Diceros bicornis minor: one gene and its partner. The protein of the gene in region 1 purifies or fractionates together with the protein of each later gene. This does not show direct contact. Links are inferred from orthologs where the notes say so. Each region holds a gene or a part of one and is shown on either strand. Other genes may lie near its edges.

The links.
Region 2: the proteins of ATP11C (region 1) and TMEM30A purify together in Homo sapiens (co-immunoprecipitation; 4 studies listed by BioGRID and IntAct, with this or other methods). This does not show direct contact. The link is inferred for Diceros bicornis minor from reciprocal best matches to the Homo sapiens genes ATP11C and TMEM30A.

What each region holds. Positions count from the first base shown.
Region 1 is NC_080781.1:126,899,550-126,907,318, forward strand, and holds the start of ATP11C (phospholipid-transporting ATPase IG), read right to left. Parts: upstream 3,083-7,769; 5' UTR 2,960-3,082; coding exon 2,933-2,959; intron 1-2,932. UniProt on the Homo sapiens protein: Catalytic component of a P4-ATPase flippase complex which catalyzes the hydrolysis of ATP coupled to the transport of aminophospholipids, phosphatidylserines (PS) and phosphatidylethanolamines (PE), from the outer to the inner leaflet of the plasma membrane.
Region 2 is NC_080762.1:55,435,284-55,442,809, forward strand, and holds the start of TMEM30A (cell cycle control protein 50A), read left to right. Parts: upstream 1-4,435; 5' UTR 4,436-4,510; coding exon 4,511-4,747; intron 4,748-7,526. UniProt on the Homo sapiens protein: Accessory component of a P4-ATPase flippase complex which catalyzes the hydrolysis of ATP coupled to the transport of aminophospholipids from the outer to the inner leaflet of various membranes and ensures the maintenance of asymmetric distribution of phospholipids.

The DNA of each region.
Region 1 (7,769 bases):
TCAACTAGTCCAGCCTTCCAATTAAACATGCCTTTAAGGGAAATCAATTGTATAGACAAAGCTACTATTATTTATTTATTGTATTTACGGAGAAGGGAGATGTCGACTGGGAACAGGCTGTGCTTTTGTTATACTCAGAGACATCCAACTCAAATCTTTTAAGACACCCTCTACATGCCTAAATCCTAAGACTCTACACCAAATCCACCAGTTTCTTTCAACCTCAAAACTGTCAAAAGGAAAGTCAAAATTCACCCAGAAAGAAAAGAAGACAATTATTAATGGCAAAGACGTCAAATCCATGTCTTTAAAAAATACAATGAATCACTATTTCTTTTAGCTTGAAACTGGAGAACCTGGGGAAATAAATGGGGTTTTTTAAGCAGTTCAGCAAACACTACTGAGCCATGGAAGACGACGCTACTCCCAAGAGATATTAACTTCCCGTGTCAGGTTTAAAATGTAAAGCCCTGTCCTAACATGTAGTGTCTATTTTTCAGTGACCAACAACTACAATCAACACCACTGTAATTTATTTCACATTCAAAATCAATTTCAAACATATATAGCTACACAAAAAAACACACAATTTTGAAAGGAATTCAAAGCCCCATCTCTGAAATATAAAAGCAATCAAAGAGAGCACACAACTTGGACTACATCTACATTGCTGTGCAAGTCTCAAAGTCCAACCTAAATCTTTAATTGCAGGCTTCTAGTGATTTAAATGAGACGGCTCCTCAAATAATCTCTACCAGGCAAAAGACAGGACAGCATATGGCTTACTGATCTAGGGGAGATAAAATTTTGTCCCCTCAAATTTTGAAGTCATTCTTTAGCAATGAGTATTTGATAGCCTGTTTCACAGTCAGTGCAATGATTTGCAGATTAATTCCTTGCCCTAGGCCTAGGACTCAGATACAACTCCTGAGAACCTTCCAGCTTGCTGCACTGGTATAAATTCCTGAGACTTACCATAGTCATGGTTGCGCAGGAAAATGTGAGCAGTCGGGTATTCCAGCAGAAACAACGAGGTCAAAGCTCACTTCAGAGTGAGCGTGATTCTCTGCAGAGATCTTGGTCAAGGATGCAAAGTACTAGCCTCAAACCTGCAGGCTGGCACCTCAACAACTGCTGTGAATTCTACTGCATGCCCTAGCTTCCTGGGCCAGTACTGCTTAATTACTAGACTCGGATACAATGCAGATCACTCTTAGCAAAAGAAAAGCATAGGGGGCATTGAGACCAATACTTGGGTTGTCTGGTTTCAAATGTTCAAAACCTTAAAAAAGGGGCTTGGGGGAATGTTAATATCTCAATTTTAAGCTAATGAATTTATTACAAACCAGAGTCCAGTTGTTTTCCACTGTAAGAGAGCCATATGAAGAGATTATCCTTTTCTCAAATATTACAATTAGCTCTCTTTGTCACCTTTCCCTTTTTGTAACCCCGAAACAACACTCTAAGATCACAAGAATCTATGTGAAATAAAACTATGAAGTACAATGCTCTTTTACCTTCTCAGGCTAAATGTGAGAAACCAATTTTAGTCACCTGCTTTAGCAAAGCATTCAGTACAAGCCAATTCCTACGGATTTCAAGATCCTTGATACCTACGACCTCTATTACTCTGTGCCACAGGTAATCTGCTCCAATTTCTCCTCCAGGTGAGGTAAATACTCAGAAAAATATTAACATAGCACTATTGTGATAATAATATCCTAAAAAGAGATATACAATTATTTCTTTTAGCCAGGGTACATTTGTGAAAGTTTCAAATGCAAAGAAGACGAAAGAAAATTCATCCGGCACATAAAACATGTTAGCAATGCTTTGATTAGGAATAATCACATGAAAATAACAAAATCGACAAGTTCTCAAACATAGATTGTAAGAGGGGTGGGGGAAGCACACAGCACTCAACCATTTTTCCTAAAGACAGAAAAATCAAAATTTACAAATGAACCCTTTCTTTCACATCATTGGCAGAAATAAAATCCTATTCCCGCCACCTCATCTTGGAATTAAGGAAGTTGCTACAAATAGCAGCATAGAAGTAAATGGTCCCTGTTTTGTTCCATTCTGAATGTACCCTCTAGGAGTTAACAGGTTACTAAAAAAAGTCATTAGCCAGAAATCACTTTCCCTTATGCCAAACTCTCATGGAAATGAAATTCCTTTTTCTGGGGATTTGGAAGGGGATAAAGGTGGACGGAGGGGTCCAGCCGCAGCCTGCCTCTCCCACGGGTTCAACGTCTGGGGCGTTCAGGGCTCCGAGAGGCTTCAGACCCGAGGCTCGGCAGCGACGGTGCAGCCTCCTCGCGTCTCCACAATCACCCAGCCCACCCTGACAATCGCCCTCTCTTTTATTGGGCCCTAAAGGTGAGCTGCTTGGACTGGATCTCCAAAGTTTGCCCGGCCTCCCATCAGCGGCTGCCCGCCCGGCCGAGCCCCGGGCAGGGCTGAGTCCAGCCTCAGTCTCCGGCCCTCTCAGCCCCAGGTCTTTTTTGGGCCACAGTGACAGGTCTAGGTTTACCTCCATGTGCTCGTGGCAGAGGAAACAAAAGAAAGCAACCTCCCAGATAATAAAACGCCATCTTCGACTAATTGGCAAACCGAAGGACCCCGGGGTCGGTCCCCTCACGAGTGGCCCCCCATCCAGCACGACGGTGGCCCCCGTCTGAGGCAGAGTTTGTAACAGCCCCGGGAAGCTCTGGTTAAATTGTCGGGGCGGGGGGGGGGTATTCTGAGAGCCCTACCTGCCTCCCCACCGCGGCCGCCTGAGCAACGTGTTTCAGCTCAAATTGGAAATGGGGTGGTGGTGTCTCCCAGAGATGCAATTATGCTCTAAGAAAACTGTTCTGAGGGACCCGGCGATGGAGCTGGCGAGCAAGCAAAGCGGCACGCGTGGAGCCGCAGCGAGTGTACTTACCAAACGATTAAAGGTCCGGCGGAACATCACGTCGAAGGCGGCCGGGCGCCGAGCTGGGCTCTACTTGGCTGTCTGGGAAGGTGCCGTCCACAAAACACACTGCGGCGGGGGCCGGCGGCGCGGAGCGGACGGCGAGCCAGGCTGCCCGGCCACCCGCCCGCCGCCTGCCCTCCTTGGCTCTCCGCGCTCCCCCCGCCCCGCGCCCTCCCGCCGGCCGCCGCCCCGCCTCACTCACTGCCCGCCCCCGCCCCCGGCCCGCCCGTCCCGGGGCCGGCGGCCCCGCCGCTCTCCCTTATCTGGCCACAGCACCGCCGCCCCGCGGCTCCCGCTGCAGCCCGCGGAGAAGGCGAGCTCGGCGCGCGGGGGAGGGATGGCGGAGGAGCGCTAGGCTCCTCCTGCGGGGAGGAGGGCGCCCCAATCTCTCCGCCAGCGCCGGCCTCGGCACCCCGTTGCCTGCACTCTTCCCCGGCGCAGGGCCACCGCCCGCCTTCCCCGCTGGCCTCGGCGGCCAGCCCGCGTGCTTCCGCCCCACTCGGGGCAGCCCGCGCCGAACCTCGCTTCAGCCCCACTCCGCCCCTAGCTCGGTCGGGAGCCACAGCCTCCCCTGCCCCGGCCCTAACTCGTCCGCGGCGCCGCTTCGCCCGCAGCCCCTCCTCGGCCCGCGGCAGCCGCGCCACCCCGCGCTTTCGTCCCGCACCCGGGCTGGGGAGCCACGATGCAGCGCGCTGGCCCGCCCCGAGCCCGCAAGGCAGGCGGGCTCCACGATTCCCGGCGGGGAGGAGCCGGGCTCTGAGCTAGGAGTGGGGACGGGCAGGGCACTCTGCAGACCCCAGCGCGGGCGGGGGAATTAGTTATGAAAGCCGCCCCCTCCTCATCTGGAAAGCCGCGGGTCTTCCCACTACCCTCGCTTCGCTCCGCTCCCACCTACGCGGCTTTCCCTCCTCTGGTTCTTTCTCTCGTCCTGCCTCCCCACCTAGCCGTCTTACTTCCACTTTCTCTATGAGGTTGTAAAGTCGGGCTTTGTGTCTTTGCTGCTGCGCAGCGGGGCGGGATTTCCCTGCCAACCCCCACCCCAAACCCCTCCCTCTCGCCTCCTCCCCCCCGCACTTTTCCCAGAGCAGCCTGGGAGTTGTAGTCCAACCGTGCTCCTATTCCGCCTCGTACTGCGGGCTGGGAGCTCCCCCACTCGCCCGTACAAGGTTTGCCCAGAGGGTTGAAGGAGGAACCGGCTGAGACCGCTGGGCCGAATCGCGGTTCTCAGCACCGGCTGGATGTGAAGGCTGGGAGCTCTCGGTAGATTCCTCGCGGTGGGAAATGTGAGAAGGATAAATGAGGCAAAGCCCCGAATGCTGGCAGACTTCCCTAGGACGCGAAAATTGTGCACCAGGAAATTCTCTACACCCTTGGCTCCTAGTTTAGAACTGGAATTTGCGAAACTTTAAAAATTAAATATGTAGGCTGAGTCTAGAATTGCCACGAGACTGAGCATCCCAACCCCCACTTCCCCCAGCTTGCGCCGCCCTTTATGGCTTGCCCCGAAGCTGTTGGAGAGAACTTCCAAGAATCCTTTATAAAAGTAAAGAAGAAATAAGTAAACGGAGTTCTGAGACATTTACACGAGCCTTCTGCCGCACCACATTCTCCTGCCAGTCTAGAGCTGGAGACAGGGTCCAGCGACACCACGGGCCTCCCCTCGGGTCGTGAAGGGGCCCTTACTGCCGGCCACAGGCGCTTCTCCTTTTCCCCTCTGGTGTTTAGATTCGTTTCAACAAACATTAACTGGGCATCTTCTCTGTGCCAGGCACTGTGCTAGGGGCTGGACACGGTTAGGTCTTAAAAGACCTCCCCAACAGAGTGGTCGCAATCTAGTCAGGGGATACCGACGTGCAAAAACAACACGTTAGAAAGTAATGGCTGCTAGAATAGAGGTTCAAAGTACTGAGGGAAATAGGGGAGAACGATATTGCATCTGAAAAGGGGCTCGGGGAAGCTTTTCTGAAAGCGCTGGAGATTAAACTGGGCCTTGAAATGTGGGAAGGCTTTAGAGGAACTGACAGGAGCCCAAGTGGGTAAAGTCCAGGGGGGAGGGAGGGGTCGGTGAGAAAGTGCAGGACAAGCTAAGAAAAGGAACATATCCACCCATCGTCTTGGCAGACGCTCAGGATACGTGGTCAGGGGCGGCCCGAATGAACGCTAAACCCCAAAAGGATCTTCAGAAACACCCTACGAATTTTGAACTTGATTCTGTGACCAACGAGTAGCCTATCCCCAATGAAGTGCAGATGCAGGAGATTTAAGGTATGTTCCCAAACTGTCCTAATTGTCAAGAAGTAAAACCGTTTGTTTCCAATTCTTTCTCTATTATGGTTCCTTCTGTTTGCTCACCCTTGAGGCTACAGCTAATGATTTCTAAGATTTATGTTAAATGTATATTAATCAGATATTAGGATATTTTATTTTATTGGCAAAATGAATCTAAGGTTTTGCTCTCTACTATTTCAAAAATTTATTTTCAGAGTTTATTTTCTGGCTTTACTTTTATTAAACACAGCAACTAATGTAATTTAATTCCCTCTTTATTTGTTGAACACCTAGTATGTGGCAGGCACTATTCTAGATACTGGAATTTGGGGGTGGAAGAGATTATTGTCATTCATTCTAGGCATAAGTCTAGAATCCTTATCAATAAAATACATTCTTATCAATTAAATAGGTAATAGAAAACAAATTTAGACATTTGGAGCTGTAAGTGCTTACTAGTACACAATAAGTAATATCTTTCCATATACAATTTTGTTAAACAAATGGAAAAAATTGTACTTTGCTTATAGATTCAAATAGATCAACTTAAAAAAAATGAGAGAACTGGAAATTGTTTTGCAGGATTCTCTCACCCACCATCCTGTGAGTGTGGTCCAACTTAAAAGCAAGACGTTTAGGATCCTCCAAGATATAGCAGTATTGTTGGTGATATTTTCATTTGTTATTACAATTCTGTTATCTCTATGTCCTCCTAATTTATTTCATCACAACACCTATACTCATGGGTCCCGACTAATTTGCTTGACTGTAAAAATGCAATTCCAAACAAATCAACGTATGCTCAGCAAAACATGAAATTTATGCAGGGTAATTTTTTTCCATATTCAAACTCAACCTGAAATGAGAGTTACTCTCACATATATCCTTTAAGAGTTACTTTCCTTTGTGGATTTTTTTTTAAGACAAGAAGAAATTATTTTTGCTCTTTTCAGTGCCTCTTCACAGTTTCCAAAGAAAACCCAGGTGTTGTAGGAAGCTGTTGTCAATGACTATGAAAAGCAGACCATCGGCCAGCATTTTCATTCGGCCAATTCCATAAACAGAACTGCAAAAACTAACTTCCTCTTGCCTAAACTGTCAGAACCCGTGGTACAGAACACCAACTCTTGTGGTGTATCAGCTGACTGCGGCAGAAGCCCCAGACTCCTGCAGGCAGGAATTCAGAGGAAGCAGTCTTCTGTCCTTGTTACCATCTTGACTAGATATGATGCTTTCTGTCTGGAGAAAGGGAAGGAAAAGTGTTCCTTGACCATTTCAATTCTGCTGCCTCATTTCTGTGCAAGCTGCTCAGAAGTCCTTCTTCTCTACTGCCCCCCTTGTTCTTTCCCACATTCTACCCCAACCCCTCAGAAATCTCACCATGGCAGATGCGCGCAACAACCACTAGAGCATGGGATGCAGTCCACACTTGGGAAGGAGGGGAGCAAACTGCTTCTGGGTCAGTTGGTCAGCAATTCAGGGATCCAGCAGGAAGGGAATGGTGAGAAGAAGGAGTCACTTCTTCCATCTAACACTAAAAAAAAGAAAGAAAGAAATTGAAGCTGTTATATCATCATTTAAATCACTGCCATCAGCAAGTTGAAGAAATTCAACTGTCTCTGCTGAGCTTTCAAACATACCTCTAAGGGTACTTTTTGCCTGTTTGAAATTTCTTTCTCCCTTCCCAGGCTAGTCTTAATGTTTATTTAAGACCAGTTTTACCCATATCTTCCTAACTATTGGCCCTCTTCAATTCATTCTCCACACTGTAACCACAGAAATCTTTGGAAGAGAGATCAAATCACTCCCCTGCTTATGACTTTTCAGTAGCTTATCCTTGCTCTTAGAATAAGTCCCAAATCTTGCCGTAACATCATCTGCAAGTCTCTGAGTTCTCTGACCTCTGCCTTCCTCTATAACCCCGGGGGGAGGGGCTACTCTCCCCCTCACTCACCAAGCTCCACCCCACTGGCCACCTTTCATCCTTTGAGTTCCCAAAGCTCCTTCTCCCCTGACAGCTTTTGCACATGCAACCATCTCTGCTGGAATGCTTTCATGGCCTTTGCTATTCATACTTCAGATCTCAGCTTAAATGTCACTTTGTCAGATGAGATCAGGGCTTCCTGTTACAGTGCCCCAAATAGTCCATATTAATTACATCGAGGATACTGACAAATGAGGTTTGTAACCATGGAGAACAGCAGAAGTCCAAGGGGATTGTGGATGATATAATATTGTTTTGCTTTTCAAAAAGGAGAAGTAGATATATTCTAGTAATCATGCTATCAAAGGCATGCAAGTTTCTAGAACCGACTATTAAAGGGCTAGGATAGTTTATTACAGTGGAAGGGAAGAGGCAATCACTAGGATCCACAATGAATTCACTGAGATATAGTCTGGCCTTCAAGATTCTGAGAAAATGATTTCTAATTCAGAATTCTACATTCTTCCAAACTATATTGGGAGGATAGACAGAGAAGAGGTTAGAGAGGATATAACATAAGAAGACTAAATCTTTATCTTCCATAATAAGGAG
Region 2 (7,526 bases), on another chromosome or scaffold:
GAGGAAAACCTCTAAGAAATAGAATTTCAGTTATCTAAATATTTTGAGGGTGCCTCCCCCCACCGCCCCAGAGGCCCTGGCCGATTTTAAGTTTAAAAATCACAGTCATTTCTCATGTGCATTTCTAACTAAATGGACAGACTTAACCAAAAGTAATCTAGAATATCAATGGCCATTATGGGGAACTTCTGAACTCCTTAAAGTTACTTTTCTTAAAACCAAATTGGACAATCATAGCTCTGTAATTTCCAAAACTAAATGGAACACCTATTTCAATTGGTATTTTGAGGCTTCCAAATGTTATAGGAGTCTAAAATTGCTCTTTTGTAAAATAAAATTTTAAGATTAACTGAGGCAAAGAATTAAAGAAAGATAAAATGGCTTCTGAAGCCTCATGTTCCTTTCTCCTGGCTCCTCATGCTCAGGCTCCACCTCTGGTGCCATCTTCCTCCCTCCCTTCTGTAGGGTCTAAACCTCATCTCTACTCTGTCCCCCCTACTAACACTCTTGCTGAACTTCCCCCTTTTCCCTGAACCTCTCCCCACTCCTCTTCCTCTGAACCTATCAGAACATGTCCTTTTAAAATTAAGCCTTCTGAGGATCCAAAGGCTAAACCCTTAACTTCTTATATTCTCTGGACTAAAGCTGAACTTTGAGCCATAGTCAAAGATTTCCCCAAAGTAACTGAAGATCCTCACAGAGTTGATGAGGAATTTAATATAGTCATTCAGACACTGGGTATTATCAGGCCCTGTGGCATGGGGATACCCCCTTGCCTTAGGGCAATTATTGCCACTGTCCTCTGGGTTAAGGCCACTGAGAAAATGGTTGTGGGATCCCCTTTAACCATTTTTCTTCCTCAGGCAGTAAAAGCCCTCCTGAATTTTCATCACAGTCAACATATTTCAGCCAGCCGCCTCACCTATGAAATCCCTTTGTTAGCTGCTCCCCACATAACTCTTTTATGTTGTTAAAGCCTTAACCCTGCTACTCTTCTCCCCTCCATTACTGACGAAGTCGCTGTTGACTGCTTAACACTGACAGATCACATCCTGACTCCTTGTGATGATCTGCAGCAAACTCCTTTGGAAGTTTTCCTGCAAACTTCCTTTGCAGGAAACTCCACCGACTTCTCATGGTTTACTGATGGTTCTTATTTAAAAGTTGACAATGGCAAATATTGTGCTGGATAGCAACTCCTTTTGATATTGCTAAGGCAGTACCTTTACCTATGGCTATTTTGGCCCAACAGCCTGAATTATACACTGTTACATGGGCCTGTACTTTAGCCAATGGCAAAAGTGCCAATATTTATACTGGTGGTAGATCTGCTTTCAGAGTAGCTTATGATTTTGGAATGTTGTGGAAGCAATCAGAAATTATTGGATGCTATACTTTTACCTGCTGCTTTAGCTATTATTAAGATCCTGGGGCATTCTCAACTTGACTCTCTGGAAGCTAAAGGAAATCACCTTGCTGATATTTCTGTAAGAATGCAGCCCTTAAAGGAACCAACAACAGCCAAGCCTCTGTCATGGTCCAAAGGGATATTTCCCCTAATGATAACTTAGAAACCTGACTAGAGAAGCCCAACAACTGGCCTCAGAAAAGGAAAAACAAGATCAGAAATTCAACAATTGTTGGCTTGATAAAAAGAGAAAGCTCTGGTTCAGATCACATAACAATCCAGCCCTGTTGGAGACTAAAATTCCCACTCCTAACCACTGTCACTGTACATGCATCAAGCCATTGGTCTACTGACAAAATGATAGCATTCATGAATCAGTATTGGTGGGGAAATATTAACAAGGTTGCAAAAAATGCCTACCTCACTTCTCCCACTTGTCCAAAATACAACCCATGGAAGCCTGTTCATACTGTTCCTGGACATTGAAATTGCCTAATGGACCATTCAAGTTTTGGCAAATGGATTTCATACAGCTTCTCCCATCTCATGGATATAAATATGTTTTAGTTGTGGTTTGTATGTCTTCTCACTGTCCTTGCAGACAGGCTACTGTCTCTTCTGTGGCTAACGTCCTTTTGGAAAGGATTATCCCTACCTGAGGGACTCCGCTCAAGCTTCATAGTGACTGAGCAACCCATTTTACTGGTCAGGTACTTCGACAAGTCTACGCTGTTTGGCCAGTTTTACAACACTCACGTTGTGCCTACCACCCTCAATCCTCTGGTTTAGCTGACCACACTAATGGCATTATTAAGACTTAATTGGCAAAACTTGTAGAGACCTTCAAATGCCTGGGCCAAAAGCACTGCCATTGGTCCTTCTAAATCTCAGATCCACCCCCTTTAGAACTCACAAACTCTCACCCTTTGAGATAGTCATGGGACGCCAAGTGCACTTGGCTTCTGCGTCTTTTGACCCACAGCTGATAAAAGGACATACACTCCAATATTGCAAAGGCCTAATTGTTTTTATTAAAATTAACCATGTTTTGGTAATCTTTTCACAGTTTGCTTCAGGGAGACAAAGCCCTTAAGCATCATACCTTGCAACCTGGAGATTGTGTCTATTGGAAAAGACACCTCCAGAAGGACTCTCTTCAACCTCATTGGAAAGGCCCCTATCAGGTACTGTTAACCAACCCTTGTGCCACAAAACTCCAGGGAATAGACTCTTGGATTCACGTGACACATCTAAAGAAAGCACCAAACCCTGACTGGTCCTACACATCATCTGGTGACCTGAAAGTAGAGTTCCTGGTATTGAGGCAGATGATATGTGATAAAGCAGCTTTCCCAAGATGTCCAGACCAGGCCTATTGGAAGTGTGTCTGCCAAACCTTTGATGATGACATAATGCTGCAGATGATCTCCAGTGCTTATGATCATGAAAACATATGGACTTTAGAAAAGAAAAATGCCTAGGAGTTTTCCTATCCTTGTTACTCAATTGTGGCCTCAATAGATTTCCAACCTGTGCACTTTCCCTCCGACAGGACACAGAGGAAAAGCCCTTCCTGGCATGGAATGACCAAAAGCTGCTGAATCTAGAAAAACCTGACTCTTGATCAACGAAGCTTTTAGAGAAAGACCGTGATCAAAAGCAGAAAATGACAGGGCCAGCCTGGTGGCACAGCAGTCAAATCCTTGCCTTCTGCTTTGGCAGCCCAGAGTTTGTAGGTTCAGATCCTGGGCATGGACCTACTCACTGCTCATCAGGCCATGCTGAGGTGGCATCCCACATAGAGCAACTAGAAGGATGCACAACTATGATGTGCGGCTATCTGCTGGGGCTTTGGGGAGAAAAAACAAAAAGAGGAAGATTGGCAACAGATGTTAGCTCAGGGCCAATCTTCCTGAACAAACAAAAAAAGAAGCATCTTCTCCCAACTTAAAAAAAAATGGGGGGAAGCCAATGTCAAATTAACAAAAAACCTCATTAAATTGGAATTGGGAGGCCAAATGGGGAGCTCTCACACCTTATGTCAAGTGCAGAGTCCAACAGGAAGAAGGAAGACTTCCTCTTCTTGATCGGCGTAAAGCTCAGCCAATCAGAGACTGCCCCAACCCAGTCACGTGAAAAGCCACTACACCTGAAACCCTCAGTTCCTCCAGTGGACTGTTCATAGTAGTCCTCCCAACGTCCTCTTCTTCTCTCTAAAAGAGGTCTCCTGCCTTGCTGCTGGGGGACTCACCCGCAGCTTACCATGGTTGCAGAGAGCGCACTTGCAATTCTTTGCTGATCTTGAACAAACTCATTTTTGCTGGAGTAATAACTGGCTATTTGTTTCAGGTCAACAGAAGCAAGATAATAGGATTAGCCAAGTCACATGATCTATTCTTTACTTTAGGACAAAAGGGTCATCCATCACACAACTCACTTAAGGTTTATATCTGCACTGTGAGTGGAAGTTTACTTATTTTAATCAGAGAAAAGTCGCGGTTTTTACAACCCCGGCAAACAGTGCCAATCCCACCAGGCTCAAGCTCCCCGGTGTGGTCTTTTAAACACGCCAGTCCCTTCGAAGAAGTCTTCCAGGTAACACAAAAACCTGTCTGGCGCCGAAGCCTCTCAGTCAGCGGCTCTAGGGACACGGCGACAACGGCGGCCAGGGGCGTGCGTTCAGACGTGCGAGCTAGAAGGTCCACTGCCATGACAACCAGAGCAGGGCGCAGGTGGGCGCCCACGGAAGCCCGGCGAGCGGGGCGGCGCATGCGCTAACGTACCTCACGCTCGGGGGCTGAGGCCTTCACTTTGTCGTCACAGGGCAGATGGTCAGGCTGCGTCCGCCTCTTCCCTCTCCCTCCACCGTCGGCCTTTTCCCTTCCCCTCCATTCTCCCTCTTCCCCTCCCCTAGTCCCTCCGTCTCCTCCCTCCCGCAGGCCCCCGCCCACCCCCACTTCCGGTCCGCGGCCGTCGGCGGAAGGGTGCCCCGCCTCTTCCGCCTTGGCGGCGGCGGTGGCGCCTGCGCGTCCCCTGTCAGGGTCAGCTGGCGGGTTCCCTGGGCCGTCCACCTGCGTGTCGCGGAGCCGTGCCCGGGGGTCGATGGCGATGAACTATAACGCCAAGGATGAAGTGGACGGTGGGCCCCCGTGCGCCCCTGGGGGCGCCGCCAAGACCCGGAGACCGGACAACACGGCCTTCAAACAGCAGCGGCTGCCGGCCTGGCAGCCCATCCTCACGGCCGGCACGGTGCTGCCCACCTTCTTCATCATCGGCCTCATCTTCATCCCCATCGGCATCGGCATCTTCGTCACCTCCAACAACATCCGCGAGATCGAGGTGAGCGGAGGGCCGGCGGGGCGCCTGCCTCGCCCCGGGTGGGCGCGGGCCCCTCCCCGCGTCTTGGCTCCCCTCCGCCGTTGCTGCGTCCTCTGCCTGCGCGTTTCCTGAGCTTGGGGTCTGTCCACGCGTCCTCGTGCTCGCCGTTCACACGGTTGGAGGCGGAATGAACGTAAACGCGGAGGGCGGGGCGCGGAGAAGGCCCCTTGAGTGGGCGCTCTGTGTGGTTCGGTGGGGGATTTTCGCCTCCAACGGAGGTTAAACAAAAGAGAAGTGGGAAAGTGGAAGTTCTATCTAGATGTAGCTCCAGGACAGTTGACGTGGTTAGAGTGCCATTACCTGGGTGGGGATTATCGCAGGACGCAGAGATGAACACCTTGGCCATTGTTGGGAAAAGGACCCGGAGTCATAGAGGTATTGATGATTTTTTGTGAAGTTGTCGTATCTTACCAGGTGACATCTTAGGACATGTGACCGAAATGTGCACAGTACCTTTCATTTTGAGGTAATAGGTGATTTTAGTTGTAGGGCATGATAGAGGTAAAGGTAACCGGAAACTTCAATTCCGATTTTGGTTTTAGGCTGTGTTTATTAATAACCATGCCCTACATTCACCCTAGTCTTTTTTTTCCCCTAGATTTTAAACTTTAAAGAAAAGAGTCAGTGACCACACACAGGATAAGTCGCATTGTCTACTGAGCATTTTACTGATCAAAGACATCACAGAAACGGGGAAGCATCTTGATTTCTGTCAGAGCAGCAATCATGGTATCGTGATCCATCTGCAGTGGTGAAGATAGGTTGATCCTAGAATGTAAATACTTTGTATGGATGTCCAGCATTAAACGTCTGCTCATCCTCGTTTCTTGAATATCTGAGGGTATTTTTGTCTGTTTGAAAGAGCAGGAACTGGCACTAAGTTCTCTTGATTTCTTCTGTTCTGTAGCAGGTTATGTCATTTTTTCCCTCTAATTTTATTAAACACTTTTAAATTTATGCATGTGCTTTGATAGGGCTTTCAGCGTAGTTTCATTTCAGCTATAGGAATAGGCATAAAGATAACTGTTTTTCAGTTTAATTTACAGTTACCTCTGAAAGCAAAATCAATATATTTTTTAATTGTACAGTGCTCATTTCGTTATTAATAACAGTAATAAGAATAGTATCTATAGTTTTTAAACCTTTTACTAAAAATTTATTTTCAGTTTAATAACTAGAGAAAGTGTCACAGTATGTTTTTTCAGCATGTATTTTTATCATTTTTTTCTCCCTAATGGTACTTAATATGTAGTACTTCTTGTTCTCCCAGCCACACTAGGATCACACATATCAGGATATGAGCAAAGTGGGGTAATGCAAGGACCGTGGGCTGTAGGCTGGAGTCAGGCAGAGGTGGCTTTCAATTCCAGCTCAGCCACTAGCTAGCTCAGTTTCTTGGAAAACTTAGTCTCTCTGAGCCTGTTTCCACACCTGTAAAATAGATAAATAATGCCTATCTTGTAAGATGTGAGAATTAGAAACAATATAGTAGATTAGATTCCTGGCACTAAGTTTGTACAATGAATAGTTACTGTTATGATGACTAGTAATCAGGAGTAGGGAAATGGGGTCAGAGGGATTGATAGTTGCTAGTAAGTTAGAAGAGTATTTTAAAATTGAGACGGAAACCCAAAGGTAGATGTCTTGATTCCCAGCCTTAACCTTTGACATTACACTAGGGGCCTTACTGCGATGTTAGTGAAGTAGAAGAAAATAATTTAACTTAGAAATTTGATCATCTTATTTAAACTTCTTAAGATATTAGGATGAACATAGCAGTAATTTGGAATTTTATGTGGTGGGTATTTAGATGAACATAGCAGTAATGTGGAATTTTATATGATGGGTATTTACTAAATTATCAGAATCAATGTCTGTTAATATTTACTATACTGTGAAAATAAATTCTTTAAAATTTTGAGGTTCTGAAATAAAATAAGGTTTTCACACTAAGTGGTTGGTGAAGTTGAAATTTCTTAAATAATTCTCATGTGTGTAATTCTGGTTTCAAGTTGCCTGAAGAGTCTGCTGCAGTTTGGTTTGGTTAAAAGGGCACTGAAGTTGGGGCCGGCCCGGTGGCGCAAGCGGTTGAGTGCGCGCGCTCCGCTGCGGCGGCCCGGGGTTCGCTGGTTCGGATCCCGGGCGTGCACCGACGCACTGCTTGGCAAGCCGTGCTGTGGCGGCGTCCCATATAAAGTGGAGGAAGATGGGCACAGATGTTAGCCCAGGGCCGTCTTCCTCAGCAAAAAAAAAAAAAAAAAAAAGAGGAGGATTGGCGGATGTTAGCACTAGGGCTGATCTCCTCACAAAAAAAAAAAAAAAAAAGGGCACTGAAGTTAAAAGAGTCCAGGCATTGGAGTTGAAGTCCCAGCTCTGTTACTCTCTAGTTTGTGGCATATTTTTAATTCTCAGTTTTTTTACTTGAAGAACCAAGATTCAGACTTGATGATCTCTAAGATGCTGTTCAACTGTAAAATTCTTTGACTTCCAACTTTAATGTGATTAAAAAAAAATGCTGCGTATTCAAATTGTATCACCTTTGGAACCAGAGGAAATGAAAATTAGGAATGATTGGAAATTTTGTACCAGCACTGACATATAGTTGTGCAAATAGAATCAAAAAATGTTTTTTTTATTTGCTTGTTAAATATGTAGGAAATTGGTTCTGGAGTTATTAGAAGAACCTAGGGAGCTTTCCCAAAACACACGTTTCCACTTGCTTTCCACCCTTTTTTGGCCG